Linked DNA regions of Sus scrofa. The protein of the gene in region 1 purifies or fractionates together with the protein of each later gene. This does not show direct contact. Links are inferred from orthologs where the notes say so. Each region holds a gene or a part of one and is shown on either strand. Other genes may lie near its edges. The genes, in order: MED12 and VDR.

Region 1 (10,436 bases):
AACTCCTTCCTCCGCCCCCATCCCCCCAACTTCCCCACCTGAATGGCAAAGTCGATGAGGCCACTGATGCTGAGTGAATATTCCATGAGGTCGAAGATGAACTGCACATGCTGCACCAGAGGCAAGTGGTACGACATGCCAAGGGCAAAGCTTGTGATCTGCTCCAGAACATTCCGGGAGACCTAAGGGCAGTGGGAGTGAGATGGGAGTGGAGCCAAGTGGGAAGAACCAGGGAAGCAGGAAAAGGATGCTAGTAGACAGGGATGCGACCGGGAGGCTTAGTCTGCTTGGGGGTGGAAAAAAAGATCAGAAGGAAAGGAAGACGGGACAGGATGCCAGAACATGGGGAGGGGACTGGACTTAGGCCCACCTGAGCTGTGACCTGGTGTTGATCATAATGCGAAAGGTGCTGGAACTTAGCAAAGATATCCTCGGCAGTGGGGAAGGCTTCAGGCCGGTTGCGTCGCCGCTTCTGCCCATCCTCCCCACCTGAGGGGACAGTTGAAGAGGACCAGTCAGGACAGGGGATGTAACTAGGTGACTGGGAGTGGGGAGGGGGGTACGGAGAGAAGGCTATGGGTGGGGAGGGAAAGGGGAAGGACGGGAGGGTGGGAGAGAGGGAAGGAAGGAAGAGGGAAGAGGTGAAGGGAGGCTCAAGGAAGGGGTGGGGGAGGGCTGAAGGGAAGGGGACAGTGAAGCACAGGTTTGGAGGACCACAGACTATGTGGACCTTAGAGGAATACGTACAGGGAGGTGCTAGGTTGAGGGAGGGAAGGGAGAGGGAGGGCGGGCAGTATGGGGCTTACTGTGAGGTACCTAAGAATGTCAGGTCTCCAGGATTCAGAGGCACAATAGGAGCAAGCTGGTCTGCAGAGGGGGGGAATGAGGGGGGAAGTTTCAAAAGGACTAGAGCTCTCAGGAGACTCCAAGAGACAGGACATCGGGACATGACTGGGAGTTCCCTATGCTGGGGAAGGGGAGACTGACTAGGGCACTCTTTGGGGGAGATCTGTTTAAGGCACCTCAAACCCACCAGTTTCCGCTGTCCCCTTGCGGTTCAGAACTTTCAGGATATCCTTGGTAATTTTCTTGATGGCATGGCGGGCATCATCTCGCTGCTTTCCCACCCCAAACAGTACGACCAACCGCTGGTTGCACTCATGGCTGCATGACTCCTCCTGCATCCCAGCGGCACCATCAGACTCCGGCACGAACTGCTCTCCCTCCTCTTAAAAAGCATGCTCCACGCCCCTCAGCATCCCAGTGCTCAAGCCCTGCCCAGCATACCACACCCTCAAGAACAGCTCCAACCCCATGGCACAGTCCTTGGACAGAAACCTGGGCTCAGAACAGAGGGTCACAAAGTGGTGGGGAACGGTACCTGGGGGATGGGAAAGTGCGTGGCATATTGCACATGCCGTGGCTGGTCATAAAGAACCCCAAGGGTCCCTTCTAGCTTCTCCTTGGGTGGGGGCTTCACCTCCTTCTCAACATCTGGTTTCTCAGGGGACGGACTGCCCTTCCCCTCACAGGGCATAGTAGGGGAGAACAACTACGAGAAAGGCGAAAGGGCAGAACGGTTAGAGGAAGACAAAACGGAAGAGGGGGCATAAAGAAACTCCCCAAAGTGGCACAGTGGGAGGTGTCTGGGAGCTGGATTCTTCCACACCAGGATATAACTTACTGAGAAATCAGGCTTCTCCATGTCCTCAAAGATCACACTGGAGTTATGGTCGATATCCATAGACTCTGAGAGCCCTGGATCCTGAGGGCAGAGAACAGAAGCAGAGTCGCATTAGCCCCAAGGAGCTGCTCCCCACCATCCAGAAAAGTCGACTCAGAAGTTGGAGACAGGACACCATACTGGGAAGAGCACAAGATCCACATCCAAGCCTTGACTGATCACTTAGCCCCCATAGGCCTTGGTTTCATTTAGCGTTATTTTACTTTTTTTATTTTATGATTTTTATTTTTTCCATTACAGTTGATTTACTCATTCAGCTTTAAAATGAGAATAACAGGAGTTCCCGTTGTAGCTCAGCAGTAACAAACCCAGCTAGTATCCATAAGGATGCAGGTTCGATCCCTGGCCTTGCTTGGTGGGTTAAGGATCCAGTGTTGCCATGAGCTGTGGTGTAGGTCACAGACGCAGCTTGGATCCCGTGGTGCTGTGGCTGTGGCCTAGGCCAGCAGCTGTAGCTCTGATTTGACCCCTAGCCTGGGAACCTCCGTATGCTTTGGGTGTGGCCCTAAAAAAAAAAAAGACAAAAAAATGATAACAATACCTCAACGAGGCAGTTGTGAGGATCAAATAATAATAATAATAATAATAAAATGATGTGAGAGTGCTTGGTAAATAAACTATGAAGCGCTAAGCAAATCCTACCCTCATCACTGGGTAAAGGATCCTCAGATTACTTCAGGAGCCAGGAAGAGGGGACTGTACAGGAAGAAACAATCTAGGGTGAGGAAAAGCCAGCTCACCTCCAGCTTGCTGCTGCTGCTGCCCTCAGCCTCCTTGCGCTCAGGGTCATCAGCAGGGTCATCAAAGGGAGAGGGAGGCCGGGGACCAGGGGCTCCAAAGGCAAGGTCCCCTCGGGAGATGAGGGTGCAAGTGTACATGTTGTGGGAGAAAACATCGTGTCGAATCAGTTCACAGAAGAGCAGTACCAAGTTAAAGAATTCCACCCGCTCACTCTCACTTCGGGGGTCCGCTGGAGGGAGGGAATGAGAAAAGATGAGTAAGGGAGCATGGAAGACATGGGCAGAAAGCGAGAGGGACACATCTAAGGTAAGATGCTCCTAGGGTACCTGAAATAGGCAGGAATAGGAATGACTCAAAACCCCCCAACGCCCCCCAAACTGTTGAGGGACAAAGTATGCTTGGTTATCCTACCTCCTGCCCCCCCATCTAATAAAGGAACACAGCATTTCTGCTATTTATACATGAAAACGCTCCGATCCTAAGCACTTGTTTTTATTCTACTCTTTATTTCTCTACTCTGTTAAACTGTAAGATGATCAAAGACTAGAATTATGTCCAAAGACATTCTGCATAGAGCTCAAGCTAAGATTATATCTCAGAAGGCCTTTCATTATGCTTTCTGATGACAGGGGTGGGTAAGGGAGTCTAGGCAGAGGTAACCAGAAAGTAGCAGGGGTCCATACTCAGCATGGGAGCCTGTGTGTCCAGAAACTGCAGGAGGACATCCTGGAAAATGGGAGCACTGGGTGCAGAAAGGGAGCCAGAGGCAATGGAACCCTTCTCATCTGCGGCTTCTGATTCTCCACAACGCTATAAAATGAGAGGACAAACCATAGGGCTGGGTTTTATCTGTTTCTTCACTCATCCACGTACAATCCTTGAACAACTGCCTATCTCCACGTCCCCCTGTTGACTCCCATTTTCTTTTCTTTCTTTGTTTTTAGTCTTTTTAGGGCTACACCTGTGGCATATGGAGGTTTCCAGGCTAGGCATCTAATCGGAGCTGTAGCCGCCAGCCCACACCACAGCCACAGCAACGCAGGATCCAAGCCGTGTCTGTGACCCACACCACAGCTCACGGCAACGCCAGATTCTTAACCCACTGAGTGAGGCCAGGGATGGAACCCAAGTCCTCATGGACACGAGTCGGGTGCCTTAGCACTGAGCCACGATGAGAACTCCTTGACTCCTATTTTCTTTAGCGCCTCCAACTGCAGCCTTGATCACTTCTCTAACTCTGACACTGATCCACTCATTTCTATTTTTGCCTCATGTCCTCCACTTTCCCTGTACGTTCTCTAACCACTTCTTACTCTCACACCTTCAACATTGGTCCCACTATCAGCTCAATCTGGCTCCAGGCCCAGCTGCCACTCCCTGCCGGGCCCCCTAACCTCAGCCTCGATCTCTGCCTGTCTCTTCTCCAGCAGCTTGGCTACCACCATAGCGCGATGCCGACCAGAACGCTTGCAGCTGACAGCCCATTCACACAGTAATGATACCACAGCATCATCATCTGAGGAGATCTGGAGACCAAAGGAAGACGGAGGTGAGTAAGGCAGAGTTGGGGACAAAAAACTGAGTTCCAATTTCCCAGCGATTGGGCCCCATCTTAAAACATTCTAGGCCCAGTAAGACCATCTGTCTCTTCAGACATCCTCTAGTTTTAGTGCCTCACCCCTCCTTCCCGTCAAATGTACTGGTGCTCTTGCTGTTTTTCCCTCCTCTTCCCCGTCTTGCTTATTACCTCGTGTCCATCCTTGCTGGGCCCCAATCCAAAAATTCGGTTACAGAGGGAGTCAAGAGAGTTGCTGAAGTCAGAGCGCTCAAAACTATGGCTGTCCAGCACTTCCAAAGTATGGAGCACCCGTCCAATGGTGAAGCCTAAAGAGGAAAAGCGGTAAAGGGGACTTAACCAGAGGCTTACTCTGACTCTCAGATCTATATGTCATTACCATCCCCACCCTTTCCTCAAACACCCTTCTTACTGCCTGTCCTCTGGCACCCACCTGCAGTAGCTTCCTGGCACTTATCAAAAGACCAGCGAACCTCAACGGCCTGTCCTCGCTCCTTGATCTGCTGCTCGATCTCCCGCAACTTTGCACGGACCTGCCAAAAGGAAGGTTTTAAGGATGGAGCAAAGCATACAAAAAGGCTAGGGCTCCAGGCTAAAAGCATAGTAGTAGGCTCCAAGTCACTAGTTCTGAAAGAGTAACTTCAGCCTCTATATCCAAACCTGCGGTAAGCAGGCTACTGGTCCAACTTACCTGCTGAGTGAAGGCACTGTTGCCCTCTGGCATGGGCAGGTTGGAGGGGGCAATAGGCAGGTGATCGAGTGGTGAGCCAGTCTTGATTCGGCTATCAGTCAGCGAGTAGTGCCAAACCAGGGCACTAGGACAACACAGGAGGATGGTCTGCCAGACAGGAACAGCTAAGTCAAACTCGGTTACCATGGCTACCTTTCCAGAAGCCCATCATAAGACCCAATGCTTCGATTTCCAATCCAAAGTTATTCTGAGTCCCTAGGGTGGCATCACTCCATCTCTGAGCCCCTCCCCTCATCCACTCTCCTCCAAAGGCTTTGGGCCTACTATGTAGACCTGGAAGGGAACTACCTGAAAAGGAACTATCGCCCCATGAATGAGCAGCCAACAATTTCCAAGCAAGTACTCAGTGCCTACTCTCACCTCCAATTTAGAATCCCCCTATTTTCCAGGACAGGCACCTAATTCTTCTCAAGAGGTCTCTTAATACTTCCATAGGCCCACCGAGTACCTACCTGAAGGATACAGCTGAGGCCAAAAACCAGGGGTCGGTGCTGAGGACACATAAGCAGGTCACTAAAGGGTGTAGAGGGTGTGCTGCTAGTTGGGGGCTGAGGAGCAGGGGTGGTGGGTAGTGTGCTTGTTGACTGAGCAGACATCACATGAGACGAGTGACTGCTCACACCATCCAGCTGCAGGGCCAGTCTCCGGGTACAGAAGTAGGCAAGGCGGCGGGAGAGGTATGCAGACTGAACAAATTCCCCGGAGTACTGTGAAGACATGACGATCAAAACCCCCCAGTTCTTTCCAAGAGACACTGCTCTCACGTCTTACTCCTCCTCACATCCTCCCTAGATGCTCCCCCACCCCTACCCCCTGGCCAAATCCTAGGCCTTACTCGAAGCAGCAGGGGCAGCAGCAGTTTAAGCAATTCATCCTCTCCAGGGCGGATTTTCTCAAAGCACTCAAGTACCCAGGTCAGGAACTCATGTCTGTCCAGCATTCCGTCCTGTGGGCACCAGGGGTGGGAAGAGGATTAGCTTTGCCTAGGGACTATTCAAGATGAGGCAGAGAAAGTAAATGAAAGGATGAAGAGAACCACACAAGTGGGGCAAGGTGGCAGGCCGATTCTGTTCTATGCTGGCAGAGTGTGAGATCAGGCTCAATCCCACGCCCTATAACAAGCTCTCCTTCCTACCTGAAACATGAACATGGCCAGCTTCTCGTTGTAGTCCCACTGCCAGATCGCCACCTCTACATCATGGGGCAAGGGCCCTACAGTGGGACCACAGCCCCCACTTCCGGCAGGCCCTGGCCGGTAGTATTCAGCCATCTTTTGCAGCTGCTCCCATAAGTACTTGGTGATGATCTGAGTCCACTCTAGGGGAAAGATGGGAAAACGGCTATTTTATACTGTCCCTCTGCTTAGAACATCTTGTCCCCTGCTCCCGTCCACAGTCACCATACTTCTAAATCCTATTCAGCCCCTTAGGCTCTAGTCAAATGCCACCTTCCTAAAGCCTTTCCAGGTGTCTCCAAAAGAAAGTAATCTTTCTGTTCACTGAGTCTCAAAGAAACCTTCTGCCTCCATTTTTTATGTTTATTTTATTAACTTACATATTTTTATTTATTAATTAATTTACATATTTTTAAAAATTTTGGCTGTGCTCGCAGCATGCAGACGTTTCCCGGCCAGGGATGGAACCTGTGCCATGGCAGTGACAATGCTGGATCCTTAACCTGCTGCACCACTAGGGAACTCCTTGCCTCCACTTTTGACATTATGTTCTATATTTAATCACGGGATCTGTACATATGCCTTGGCATCCCTACTAGACTCTAAGCATCCTAAAGGCAGGGATTAAGTAGTGGTTATCTTTATAGCCCAGTACATGCACGGAGAAGGTACTCAAGATACTCGATGTTTACTAATGGAGTGAATGCAAGATACAAGCAGAAGCAAGGAATATAGATGAGGAAGGAGAATAATCTCAAGGGTCTCTCTACCACTGCTTGAAGTGATCAGTGGTGGGACCCCTGGTGTTAGAGGACTTACTCACCCGTGAAGGGGTCAACGACATTTCTCTTCTTAACCTTGTTCTCCGAGATTGCTGCATAGTAGGCACAGGTCATCTTAATGAGCCAGGCTGCCCGCATCACAGGCACTGTGTATTTGGCTAAGTACCCAAACACTTCTTCCTTCTTACTGAAAATGGGGACCTGGACGGACATCACAAATAGTGAGACCTCCATTACCCCCATGAGCTGGCATTCATGTAGCTTAATCTGGGAATCGGAGGGTGCTTGGTACCCACACTCCACTCCCTGGCTTGAAGAACAAGAAATGGTATCTCACCTTTTTGGCTAGTTGTGTGAGTGGCTTGGTGCCAGCCAGGTCAGTGAACCAGGTGTTAATGGCACTCTGGGATCGTGCAGTCACCAGCCAGAAGTTGTCCTTCTGGTTCACTTGGGGCTTCCTGCGACCAGTGTCAGGGAGGGTGTTACAACGTAACTTCTCTGCAATAATGCTGCTGAAGTTGGAACTGATCTGAGGGAAGAAAACTACACCTCAGGGTGGGAAGAAGGGGTAGAGAGGTGGTTGTGCCTTTGATAGGCAAATGCCAATGTGGTAGCATGAGGTTATGAAGGAAAACTCAGCCATTTAGGTGGTCCCTTTAAGTCTTCCCAACCCAGGGCCTTTGCGCCTTCTCAAATTCTTCCAGCCTTTTCCTTCAGCTTGGCAGGGTTGTCTCACCTTGGCAGGATTGAAGTTGACGTTCTTGGCACTGCCATGTTCATCCCCAGAGACAGCGGGCTGGTTATTGAAACCTTGTTTTACATTCAAGGCTGTCAGTTCATCCTAAAGCGGGAAAACGACATGTTAGCCCCCGCCACGGGGGGGGGGGGGAAGGTTGGTGGTGGGAGAGGGCAGAAGAGAAGGGAACATGGGGAGGGGGGAAGGGAGGAGGAGGATTCGGAGTAGAACAGATTGTTATTTAAAGCTAGGCCCTAACATTCATTTGGACCCCACCCTCACCCCCACAGTCACTAAGATTCCCAATCCCCCAGAGCTCACTCAACAGCACTCTTCCCCTGCGAGCTTGGAAGCAGAGCAGCCGTTGCTCACCCAGCTGCCTCAGACAACTTTCTGAGGTGTGTGTGTGTAGAGGGGGGCGCCTCCAGCGTGGCCCCGATATCACTCCCAGCTGGCACCCAGGAACCACCCCCCACCCCCACCAGATCCTACTCTCCTACGCCAGCCCACTTTACTCTTCCCCCTTTCGGGACTTTCGCTCCCGGCGAACCGCCCCGCCCCCCCCCCCCCCCGCCAAGCTTTCAGTGCTTCCTCTTCTGCCGATCGCTGGCCCCCGGCCCCTGGGGAGCCCGGATTTTTGAACGTACCTCCTTCTGTTTGGGATCTTGAGGGTACACATCCGGAGGCCCCAGCCGCGGCCGCTTCAGGGGCCGGTGTTCGTAGCTCAAGATCCCGAAGGCCGCCATCTTGCCCAGCCCGTAGCGCCAGAGGCGCCAGCCGGGCCCGGCCGCTGGGGGAGGGGGAGAGGGAGCCGAAAAGGGGGGCAGCGGAGGCGAGGACGGCAGCCGAGAGACAACAAGGGGGCACGTTAGAAACTCTCGATCATTGCCGGAAACTACCGAGGTAAACCGAGGGACGCCGGGAACCGTCGGACAATACCGACCGCGGGGTAGGGGGGGGAACGGGGGCGGGGCCCACCCGGCGTGGGGCGGAGCTCGGCGCCGGGGGAGCTTTTTCTGCCCCGGCGGCCGCAGATCGACTTCACTCAGTCAAGATCTTTGCGACATTCGCTAACCCTGTGCTGGACTGGGGATGCGAACCCGCGAGGCGGGAGGCGGCCACCGCACCGAGCTCCGGTTAGAATTGCGTTCCCAGCACCTCCCTCCGTTCCCGGCCTAGAATAAATAAGTGCTTGATCGTCTGTGCGTTTGTTGGGAACTCTGCCTTTTCCAAACTGCTTCTTCATTTCTCAGGTTCCGCATCTGAAAAATGGGTGTACTAACAAACACTTCCTTCAAGGGACTGTTGTGAAGATTAGAAACGATGTATGCATAAGGAAACACATATTAACCCCCCCCCCCCCCACACACACACAAAGGTCGGCTCTAATCCCTCAAGGTCCCTATGGTCTAGCACTGAGGTTCTTAACCTCTTCTGATTCAAAGTCCCTTTAAAATGCGGTGGAAGCTACGGCCCTTCTTCCCAGAAAAAAAAAAAAAAAAAAAAAGCACGTAGAGATATACAAAACGTTAGACACTTTCCACGGAGATTCTTACACACACACCCCTCCACGAAGTTCATCCATATATACTCCGAAGATTCAGGAACTCCAGGTTAAGAACGCTTGCTCTATAGAAAGAGGCACCTATTAAGTATCAGATGCTTTTCAGACATTATCTCTTTTAATCCACAAAAGCCCCATGTGTTAGGGATTATTATTGTCTCCATTTTGTAGATGAGGAAGCTGATTCTCAAGGAGTGGGAGTTGGTTTATATAGCTACTGAATAACAGAGCTGAGACTAGGGTTTTTTTCCTTGACTCTTCTTTAAGTGGTATATCATATCATTGGCTATTCTATTTTTTTACCTGCTTTTTAATTTAATTTTATTTGCTTTTTGTAGGGCCGCACCTTCAGCATATGGAGGTTCCCAGACTAAGGGTCAAATCCGAGCTGCAGCTGCCTGCCACAGCCACAGCCACTGCAACAGGATCCTTAACCCACTAAGTGAGGCCCGGGATGGAACCCGAATCCTCATGGATACTAGTATGTCAGGTTTATAACCCACTAAGAACTCCCCCTGCTTTTTTAAATTGAAGTATATTTGGTGTACAATATTGCATAAGTTACGGGTGCACAGTATAGTGGTTCGTATTTTCTAAAGGTTATACTCCATTCATAATTATAAAATATTGGCTACATTCCTCATGTTATACAATATATCTTTTTAGCTCATTTTATACGTGATAGTTTGTATCTTATAGTCTCCTACACCTAAACTGTCCTTCCCCCTTCTCGCTTCTCCCAGTGTAACCCCTAGTTGGTTCTTTGTATCTGTGAATCTGCTTTTTTGTTACATTCACTAGTTTGTTGCATTTTTCAGGTTCCACATATGAGTGATATCATACTTTTTTTTTTTTTTTTTGTCTTTTCTAGGCCGCTTCCCGCGGCATATGGAGGTTCCCAGGCTAGGCGTTGAATCGGAGCTGTAGCCGCCGACCTACGCCAGAGCCACAGCAACGCGGGATCCGAGCCGCGTCCGCGACCTGCTCTACAGCTCACGGCAACGCTGGATCGTTAACCCACTGAGCAAGGGCAGGGATCGAACCCGCAACCTCATGGTTCCTAGTCGGATTCGTTAACCACTGTGCCACGATGGGAAATCCAGTGATATCATACTTTTCCTGACTTTTTTTTTTTTTTTTTTTTTTTTTTTTTTTTTTTTTAAGGGCCGCATCCCTGGAAGTTCCCAGGCTGGCGATCGAATGGAAGTTGCAGCTGTGCTACACCACAGCCACAGCCACACCAGATCTGAGCCACGTCTGCAACCTACGCCACAGCTCACAGCAATGCTGGATCCTTAACCCAGAGAGCGAGGCCAGGGATTGAACTGGCATCCTCATAGATACTAGCAGGGTTCATTAATTCCTGAG
Region 2 (9,806 bases), on another chromosome or scaffold:
TCAAAATATTAAGTCACTTGCCCAAGGTCACACAAGTAGCAGGAGGCCCAGGACAGGGAGAGGGACCCAGCCGTTTATGCTGTTACGTGTTCAGCTTCTGCTTGCGCTGCTTGCTGATGGTCTGTTTGCACGTCTGCCTTCTCCCACTGGACTGTGCCTTTCTTGGGGGCAGTGACTGTCCTATTCATTGCTGGCACTGAGCGCAGCGCCATGTCTGTGCTTGGAGACATCTCAGGACTGCACGACCAGGCCGGACCTCAGAGGGAAACGGGGATCAGCACGGAAGGTGGTCAGAGGCCCCCGGCACAGGGCTTCAGGGGCCTTTCACAGAGATGGAGAAAAGCAGGAGTGGGAGATGGAGGAGAGGGGAGAGCAGCCAGGCCAGCAGCTCAAATCTGTCTGTGTAGCACAGTAGCACCACCTAGTGGTGATGCTCAACACAATTTGGGAAAAAACCCCAAACCACCTGGTAGTCCAGAGCAGAGAAGAGACTGGAAACTCCTTCCCCTGGAGGGAGCTCCAGGGACTATTGTTGCCCAGTCCCTAAAGCCAAAAGGACGGGTCTGACAGCCTCCTGTGCCACAACAGGAACTCCATCCCTTGTAGGCTTTTTAATAGAGAGCTGGCCCGACCAGCTGTTTTGTCAGGCCCCTCAGCTCAATAGGAAGCATTGCAGTTAGCAGCTAATCAGTGGCTGCCGGGAGCCGGCTGCCAAGGCTTCAAGGCCGGTCTCTCGCTTCCTACCAGTGTGGCTTTAGGCACATTCTCTGCTCTGCTCAGTAAGGGTAATAGCGGTCCATCTCCTCTGGGGTCCTTACAAGGACAAGGCAGGCTGGTTTGCATAAAGCTTTTATTGACAGCAGTACCTGCCCAGAGTAAGCGCTATGGAAGTATGAGCCATTTTATTGCCATATGCAAAGCTCTCTTCACTGGTTTATTGGACAAATTTCCGGCACATGGTTTCTCTTTGAAAGTCACTCAGGAGGCACTCTTCAAAGCCATCCTGCCACCATATTTAATTCTGGCTTCCACCAGGTCTGCTGCACTTCCCCAGCTTCCCTGTTGGCCTCTTTTGGTTTTTCCTACCGCTTCCAGTCAGCCCGAGAAGGGTTTTCCTATCTCCTGGAATCTTGTTTAGGTAGTTGGCATTTTGGGGCACACTTTCCTGCTTTCCAATAATATACTTTCTTACTTATTGGCTGCACCCACGGCTCACAGAAGTTCCTGGGCTGAGGATTGAACTTGAGCCACAGCAGTAACTATAGCCACAGAAGTGACAAAGCTGCAGGATCCTTAACCCGCTGAGCCACCAGGTAACTCCTCCAATAATATACTTTAAAAGTTTGAGATTTATAAATATCTACCTTTGTGTTCTCTCGTTTTATTTTTTTTCTTTTTACGGCTGCATCCATGGCATATGGAAGCTTCTGGCCTGCAGGTTGAATCAGAGCTGTAGCTGCCAGCCTACACCACAGCCACAGCAACGTGGATTCGAGTGGCATCTGTGACCTACACCACAGCTCACGGCAAGGCCCGATCCTTAATCCACTAAGTGAGGTCAGGGGTCAAACCCGCATCCTCACGGATACTAGTCAGGTTCTTAACAGACTGAGCCACAATGGGAGCTCTCATTCTTTCATTTTAAAGCAAAAGAGGTGATAACATCTTTTCCCAATTTAGTCCCAGGAAACCTCACTTTTTCTCTTTTCTTTTCCTCTCAGCTCCTAGATTTTACTTAGGGACTGGACTGGACTGTTGTGTGCCCCAGAGCTGAGGCACTGGTGTTCAGTGTCCCGTGGGGTCCCCTGGGGAAGGCAGGGCCAGACGAGCTTTGGGAAGGCGGAGACGGTACAAAGACAAATGCACTTTATTGATGAGGCAACAGCATCATACAGGGCTGAGGCGGAGACCCCATCCAGCCAGGGCCACAGAGGGGCGGGGGTCCGATTCACATTGACACAGGCTGAGGTGTCCCTTCTCCTCCCCCTGATGGGTCAGTCAGTGGGGTGACAACCAAGGGAAGCAAGGCAGGGGTCTGGGATCTGGACTTGCTCTGTCGAAAGCCCAGGGCTTCCCCCAGGGAAAGGTCCTCCTCTAGGGAAGTGGGACATGGGGTCTGAGCTCAAGCGTGGTATAGCGAAACGAGCACTGAACCCTAAGTCCAAATTGGGGTGCAGCCCTGGGGCTGCTTCTAACTAGTTCCTTGAGCTTGGGTGAGTCACGCCCTCCTCTCAGCATCAGTTTTCTTTAACCAGGGGGTCGAACTGGGTTAGTGATTTTCCAGCTTTTTCTTCTGCTGACTAGCAGCCGGGCCAACAGGTTCGGCAGCTAAAATCAAATCCCACTTCTCCCTGCTTTGTAAACTAACAACAGCAATGATTAAGATATAGAATTTTCACCATGTTAAGTCCCTGGTCCCGTAAATCTCGCTTCACCTGTGGTCCCTACCACCGGCTAGATTAGCACGTGGTACCACAATGGAGCCTGATTCGGAAGACAACCCCCATCTAATCAGCATCAGACTGAGTCTTAGGACGGTGGCCGGCAGTAGGAACGTGGCTGCCAGATGGAGAAAGCACTGGCCAGGCGGGCCCTGGCGGCTGTCCCAGCGGTTGCAGTGGTAAGTCGTTGGCTCCTGGGGTCTGTAGTGAACAGCAGGTGCAGGGCCGGGGGCGGGGGGGGGGTGTCCTGCTGAGACAGAAACCTCCGTAGGAGCTGAAGAACCCTCTGTGATTCCTGGGAGAACCTTGTCTGCCCCCCTCCCACAGGCCTGCGGCTCACACCCCCGTGGAAGCCCAGAGGTCCCGGGGCCAGGAGTGCCCCCTCCTGAGTGCCTCTGGATGTGGGAAGGACCCACCTCTGACGTCACAGTGGTGCGATGGGAGCGGAAGGAACCAGCCCCACTCCCTCGGGCTGGACAGCAGACCAACCCGCTGTCTCTCACCCCCCCCTCCACCCCCACCCCGGGGGCCGGGGCACTGGCTCCTGCTTCTTGGGGGAACGGCGGTGTTGGAAGCAGGCAGTGGTGGGCAGGGAGGGCATGGCTTGGGCGCCGGGCCAGGTGGGAAAGACGAGGCCCTGCTGGTAGGCAGAGCGGCACTGCTTCCCCAGACTGTGGGGTGGGGTGGGGACAGTGGGCTGACCTCTGGGTCACCACCCTTGGCCATCCCAGGGTTAGGCCCCTTGGGTGCCCACGGCTGCTGTGTGAGGGGAGCCTGCAGCCGGTCTGGTCCTCTCTCAGGGAGCAGAGGTAAGGCACTGGCAGGGGAGGATGACAGAGTCCAGCGCTTCTCTGAAGCCTGGGTGCCCGTCAGTCTTGCCATGTGGGTTGTCAGAAGGAGAACTCCCGCCTTGGCTACCCCCTCAGATCCAGGCTGCAGAGCCACGGGCTCCACCACAGGACAGGTGAGGCCTCTGTCTACCACTCTTCCATGAGGCTGGATGTGCCTGCCTCCCCCAAATCCCCCCGCCTGGGCCCTGCTCTCTTCCCTCCTGGGCCTCTTGGCAGGTGGGTTCTGGGCCAGTGTCCCCAGCCGTGGGGAGGCAGCCTGTCTTACCACAGCTCCTTCCGGGGACAACGTTACCATAGGGATGAGAGGAAGGTGGGCACGGAGGGCTTAGGCATGTGCCCTTTGGGCAGCAGAGATGGATTTGTGACCTTCGTCACCCTGGTTTTGGTCATCCTTGGCAGTGAGTGTCCTGGACAGGCAGAGGGCCAAGGCCCCCTGGTGGCTCGCTGCCTGGGGACGGAACAGCGCAGACTGGCAGCAGGATGAGGTGGGGCTGTGGGTCAGTACGTGCCGTGGATGAGGCGGAAGAAGGAAGATCCCACCAGGCTCTGGACACGGGGGCCTGGAGTGGGGTGGAGGTACGGGTGTCTCTGTCCCTGAGGAAGGGGCTATTTCTCCTGCCTGCCTTTTCCCTCGGCATCACCAGCAGCCGCTTCTGGAGCAGCGGGGGCGTCCCCGGGTCCTCAGCCTCTGCCCTCTGCCCCCACTTGAGTTTCTCTGTCAAATAAACAGCAACTCCTCATAACGGAGGTCTCGTGGGAGTGGGAGCAGCCTGTGGCAGGAGAGAGGATGGGCCAGGCGGGGAGGGGAGGTGGCAGAGGAGGGGCTGAACTCCAGAGGGGGTGGGGAGGGCTGCTGGCCAGACGCCCACCCCAGGCCTGGGCGCAGGGCCCCAGAGAGGCAGCCCCGGCCGGGTGCCACCGCAGGCTGCCCTAGTCAGGAGATCTCGTTGCCAAACACCTCAAGCACAAGGGGTGTGAGCTTCATGCTGCACTCGGGCTGGAAGGAGAGGCAGCGGTACTGCTTGGAGTGCTCCTCGTTCAGGCTACGCAGGTCGGCCAGCTTCTGGATCATCTTGGCGTAGAGCAGGTGGCTGCCCGGGGGCGGGTGGCGGCAGCGGATGTAGGTCTGCAGCGTGTTGGACAGGCGGTCCTGGATGGCCTCGATCAGCGTGGGGTCCTGCACCCCGGGACGGTCTGTGGGCAGAGAGGGTGGGGTGGGGGTGGCACAGGAGATCTGAGCTGGGCCCCTCCCTGTTCGATCCACTCCCCTCATGCCTCAGCCCACATAGATGGACACCTAACCTCCGAATCCATCCATCACTCCTGATGGCTGCTGACCTGCGACACCAGAGTCCTCCCCAACATCTCAACCACTCTCTATTGCCTTTTTTTTTTTTTTTTTTAAATTTTTTTTGCTTTTTCAGGCCATGCCTGAAAGTTCCCAGGCTAGGGGTCAAATCAGAGCTGCAGCTGCTGGCCCGCACCACAGCCTCAGCAACACTGGTTCTACACCACAGCTCACGACAACGCTGGATCCTTAACCCACTGACCGAGGCCAAGGCTCACACCTGCATCCTCATGGACACTATGTCAGGTTCTTAACCCGCTGAGCCACAGTGGGAACTCCTAGGAACTGGCTGTACAATGGCGTGTGTTTGATGTCTCCTCCTACACTTGGTGGGAGAGGTCTGCGTCCTGTTTGCTGCTGAGTCTCTATGCCCAGCACAGTGCCTGGTACCTGACAGGAGCCCAGTAAATCACTGCCGAGGGAACAAATGAATGGATGAGTTGGGGAGGGCTCACTGGGCGGGAGGAGGGTGCCCAGGTCCTTCCCTCGGGCCCCAGCCCAGGAAAGCATCCCTGGATGGCAGCCACTAGTTTGTTCCCCAAACACAGTCCAGGGGGAGGCCTCACCAGTGTCTAGAGTCCCCGGGACCACAAGACCCTCCTCCTCAGCCTGTCTCCCTCTTTCCACCCCAAACAGGCAGAAGAGCTCAAGACTGACGGCATCCCGCCTCCAAAATCAGTCAGCTCAACTGTCCATCAGGCCAGATGTCCAGCCAGCAGAACATCTATTGGGCCCCAGGGTTTTGTGCCCTGACCTCAGGGGACCTCAAGGGTCAGGGAGGTCAGTCCAGTTCACACAGGCCTGTCTGTGGCCTGAGACACTCCATCTAGGAGTTCCCTTTGTGGTGCAGTGGAAATGAATCTGACGAGTAACCATGAGGTTGCGGGTTCGATCCCTGGTCTTGCTTAGGGGCTTAAGGATCCTGTGTTGCTGTGGCTGTGGTGTAGGCCGGCAGCTATAGCTCTGATTCGACCCCTAGCCTGGGAACCTCCATATGCTGAAGGTGTGGCCCTGAAAAGACAAAAGACACACACACACACACACATACACACACACACAGAAAAGAAAGAAAGAGAAAGAAAGAAAGAAAAAAAGAAACTCCATCTATCTGGCTCCTCAAAATCCCTCCCATGAACCAGCAATGGTTTCACTAGGGAAAGGCCAAGGCCAAGGGCAGTGAGGGAACCCTCAACATACACACACCACCCTGGCTGTGCAAACCCAGCAAAAGCCAGGTTTCCCTGTCGTTCTCTCCTTTTGCTCACTCCTCCCTCCAAACTTCCCGCTGGTCTTCAGTGGGGCTTCACCTGCACGCTCCCCACATCCCAGGTCCCACGTCCTCACTGCGAGTACCTGGGGAGACGATGCAGATGGCCATGAGCAGCACGTGCTCCTCCTCGTGCAGGTTCAGCTTCTTCAGCCCCACCTGGAACTTGATGAGGGGCTCGATCAGCTCCAGGCTGTGTCCGGCTGCGAGAGAGGATGGCCAGCTGCTGTGGGCACCCACAGGACGCCCCCCGCACCCCACATCCAGCCTGACATTGCTCCCTCGGATGTGCCTGGTGGGGCCCTGGACCCCAGGAGGGGTGGAGCTGGGGCAGGCGGAGGCAGAGCCCAGACGCACCTTTGGCCACGTCGCTGACTTGGTACTTGTAGTCCCGGCTGCCACAGGTCCAGGACATGTCGTCCATGGTGAAGGACTGGTTGGAGCGCAGCATGATGACCTCGATGGCACTTGACTTCAGCAGCACGATCTGGTCCTCAGCGGTGAGGTCCCTGCCAGGGAGGGGAGAGGTGGAGGTCAGGTTCCTTTACTGGGCAGCACCTTCTCTCTCTCTCTCTCCTTTTGGTTCTTTTTAGGGCTGCACCTGTGGCATATGGAAGTTCCCGGGCTAGGGGTCGGATGGGAGCTGCCGCTGCCAGCCCTCACCACTGCCACAGCAATGCCAGATCCTTAACCCACTGAGCGAGGCCAGGAATCGATCCTGCATCCTTATGGATTCTAGTCAGGTTCTTAACCCACTGAACCACAATGGGACGCCGAGACCTTCAAGTCATGTAAATTAGTGCAGTGTTTTGACAGGTATACACCTGCCAGGTGCCCAGCATGGGCCCAGCTCCTCCACTGAGGAGCTTGCAGCCTGGTTGGAAAGAAGAAGACTTGTTTCTTGAGGGAGAACAACTTGCGAACAACTCAAGACTGTGACCAAATGCCAGCTGGATCAGCTCAGCTACTCAGTGACTTTTTGGGGTGTCCCAGGTCTAAGCAGCCACAGCTCTTCTGGGGTTATGAAGAGAGAGCTTGAGGAAGCTCTCAGGGCCACGGCATGACTAAGGTGGTCTGCAAAACATGGTAGAGGAGTTCCCGTCGTGGCGCGGTGGTTAACGAATCCGACTAGGAACCATGAGGTTGTGGGTTCGATCCCTGCCCTTACTCAGTGGGCTAAGGATCTGGCGTTGCCGTGAGCTGTGGTGTAGGTTGCAGATGCGGCTCGGATCCCGCGTTGCTGTGGCTCTGGTGTAGGCCAGCGGCTACAGCTCCGATTCGACCCCTAGTCTGGGAACCTCCATGTGCTGTGGGAGCGGCCCAAAGAAATAGCAAAAAGACAAAAAACCACAAACAAACAAACAAAATAAACATGTTAGAGCCATCCCAGTGGCTCCCATGCTTTCTCTCCCTCTCTCTCCTGTCCTCTGGTCCTTCCCCCGAGTGACGCCCAGCATCTCTGGACCCCGTTCCCACTCCTCTGACTGCTCTGATTCAGAGCTCCCTCATGTCTTTCAGTTGCCTCTTACTAGAATCCTGGGGTCAAGTTTCTAGTGCACCTTTCTTACCGCTGCTACAGGAAAGTGTCACTCCTGTGCTCAGAAATCTGCACAGACTATCAAACGCCCCGGGCTCAAGCCCGTACTCCATAACTTGGTTCCAACCTGTCTTTCCAGACCCCCTTCCCATCGCAGGCTCCACCAACCCTCCCTTCTAAACTGTGGGACACTCCACATTCAGGTGATGCATTCTCACGCCACTGCCATGCCCTTGAACATGGGACGGCTCCCGCGTGGAGCACCTGTCTTCTTCTGCTCCACCTGGTCTTTCTGGTCCTGAATCTAGAAGGTCTCTCTTGGGTCCTCCACTCTCTGATTCTCTTCATCGAATGAGAGCCATTCCTTTATGACCTGCTGCACGTGGCTCGTACATTGCTGGTATTTTGCCCTTTCCCCTTCACCTCTGTCCTTTAGGTGCTTGTCTCTGAGCTACTTGAGGGTCAGCACCACCTCTTAATTACCTTAGTGTTGCCCTCACATTGAACGTTGAACCCTGAGCACTAGGAGAGTGTCAATAACTAGGTGTCGATGAGTCAAGAGGCTGATGACTAGTTCCATTATTCTGAGTCACGAGCTGGGCTTGTCTGAACCATGACAGGGAGAAAGCAGGGCCCACGGATTAAATCGCTTCCGGATTTTCCTCCCTTTCTGACTATATGTTTCCTCCTGGATATCCTGCGATGGGCTGTCAACTTCTGTGGCTGCACTTTGGAATATAAAAAAAGTGGGAAACGGAGTTAACAGATGTGGGCCCTGTATCAGCAAGTGATGGATGAGGAGGCGTGAAAAGGCTTGCCTGATTAGGATGGCCACCAAAGCGCAGTGAAGGAAAATCTCACAGTGCCAGCATTGGGAGGCCCCCCTTCAACGCTGTGTGGTCCAGTTCCTCCCTCAGCACTCCCAGCAGATGGTGCTCACACAGCCTGTGCAGGATCCCCCCAGGGCCAGGGATACAGCCACGCCGTGCTGTGGGTGAAGCGCCTCTTGGGCTTCTATTGAGCTCTAACCCACACGATGACACAGTCATCTTGCTCATAGTTCCATCCTCTCAAGGAACATAGAACTCCGACTTCTCCATCACTTATGGGACATTCCTCTCACCATTTAAAGAAAGACACTATTTCCTCTTGGCATCTTTCCTGGGATAAATAGCCCTGATGACGTCTTGCCATCCTTGCCACCTTTTTCTGGGCGCTCAGTCCACATTTTGTTTTTGTTTTTTTGGCCATGCCCGTGGCATGTGAAATTCCCAGGCCAGGGATCGAACCCATACCATAGCAGTGACCCAAGCTACTGCAGTGACAATGCTGGGTCCTTAACCCACTGCACCACAAGAGAACTCTTCAATCCACACTTGAAAAAGAAAAACTAACATCACCCTTCTTTGGGTTTTAATTCATTATACAGTAAAACATTCGATTATTAAATCTTTGCAGAAAATGAAAACAAATAAAAATTGCTCAAAACCATGATGAACATTCTGGTTTATTTTCTTCCTGTTTTTTATGCAAATCTCTCTCTCTCTCTTTTCCTTTTAGAGCTGCACAGGCAGCATAGGGAAGTTCCCAGGCTAGGGGGCGAATCAGAGCTACAGCTGCCAGCCTACACCGCAGCCACAGCAACGCCAGATCCGAGCCACACCTGCAACCAATACCACAGCTTGCGGCAGCTCTGGATCCTTAACCCCTGAGTGAGGCCAGGGATCGAACCCGCATCCTCTTTTTACTAGTTGGGTTGTTAATCCGCTGAACCCTAACGGGAACTCCGCAAATATCTCTTTCTTAACATGTAGGAGGTCACAGTGACCCTGTGTCTCACTTCCTACGTTAGTTCATGGTGGGTTGCATCACGTTATATCAACACACTCTATAAGTTATTTATCAATCTCCCAGTCACTTACTTTGGGGTATTTGGGCTGCTTTGAAGTTTTGCTATTATAAGTAATTCTGTGAGGAATATCTTTATACGTAACCTTTTGTTCAAGGGCCCCCTCAAAACGGATGGCCAGAAATGAACGAATATCCCATGCGTGTTTGGCCAGAGAGATTTCACTGGCTGCTGTGATCCAGACATACTCCTGCTATGAAAGCCAACCTAGAACAACCTCAAATTACTACCCATGGGCTGGAAATACAGGGAATTTCTACGAGCCAGCTCGAAGCCAGAACTGAGACTGGTGGTGGGTTGGGGGCAGAGGTGGAGCCAAAGGGGAATCCAGTCAGAGAAGTTTCCTGCTGTAATGGACACTGGCTCGGGCTCTGGGCCTCCTCCCTGGACCTCCTCATAGGTTTTCACCCCTGCCGCTGCTTCTGGGCACCTGCCACACGCTCTGGGAATGCG

The links.
Region 2: the proteins of MED12 (region 1) and VDR purify together in Homo sapiens (affinity purification with mass spectrometry; 3 studies listed by BioGRID, with this or other methods). This does not show direct contact. The link is inferred for Sus scrofa from reciprocal best matches to the Homo sapiens genes MED12 and VDR.

Annotation. Positions count from the first base shown.
Region 1 is NC_010461.5:57,148,897-57,159,332, reverse strand, and holds the start of MED12 (mediator of RNA polymerase II transcription subunit 12), read right to left. Parts: upstream 8,450-10,436; 5' UTR 8,251-8,449; coding exon 8,152-8,250; exon of another isoform or gene 8,091-8,151; intron 7,610-8,090; coding exon 7,505-7,609; intron 7,298-7,504; coding exon 7,106-7,297; intron 6,970-7,105; coding exon 6,810-6,969; intron 6,130-6,809; coding exon 5,948-6,129; intron 5,759-5,947; coding exon 5,648-5,758; intron 5,520-5,647; coding exon 5,265-5,519; intron 4,900-5,264; coding exon 4,753-4,899; intron 4,595-4,752; coding exon 4,495-4,594; intron 4,370-4,494; coding exon 4,233-4,369; intron 4,012-4,232; coding exon 3,880-4,011; intron 3,296-3,879; coding exon 3,169-3,295; intron 2,715-3,168; coding exon 2,485-2,714; intron 1,766-2,484; coding exon 1,685-1,765; intron 1,553-1,684; coding exon 1,382-1,552; intron 1,179-1,381; coding exon 1,034-1,178; intron 868-1,033; coding exon 817-867; intron 490-816; coding exon 371-489; intron 183-370; coding exon 39-182; and 1 more. UniProt on the Homo sapiens protein: Component of the Mediator complex, a coactivator involved in the regulated transcription of nearly all RNA polymerase II-dependent genes.
Region 2 is NC_010447.5:78,203,964-78,213,769, forward strand, and holds the end of VDR (vitamin D3 receptor), read right to left. Parts: intron 6,417-9,806; coding exon 6,265-6,416; coding exon of another isoform or gene 6,111-6,264; coding exon 5,994-6,110; intron 4,487-5,993; coding exon 4,227-4,486; 3' UTR 3,277-4,226; downstream 1-3,276.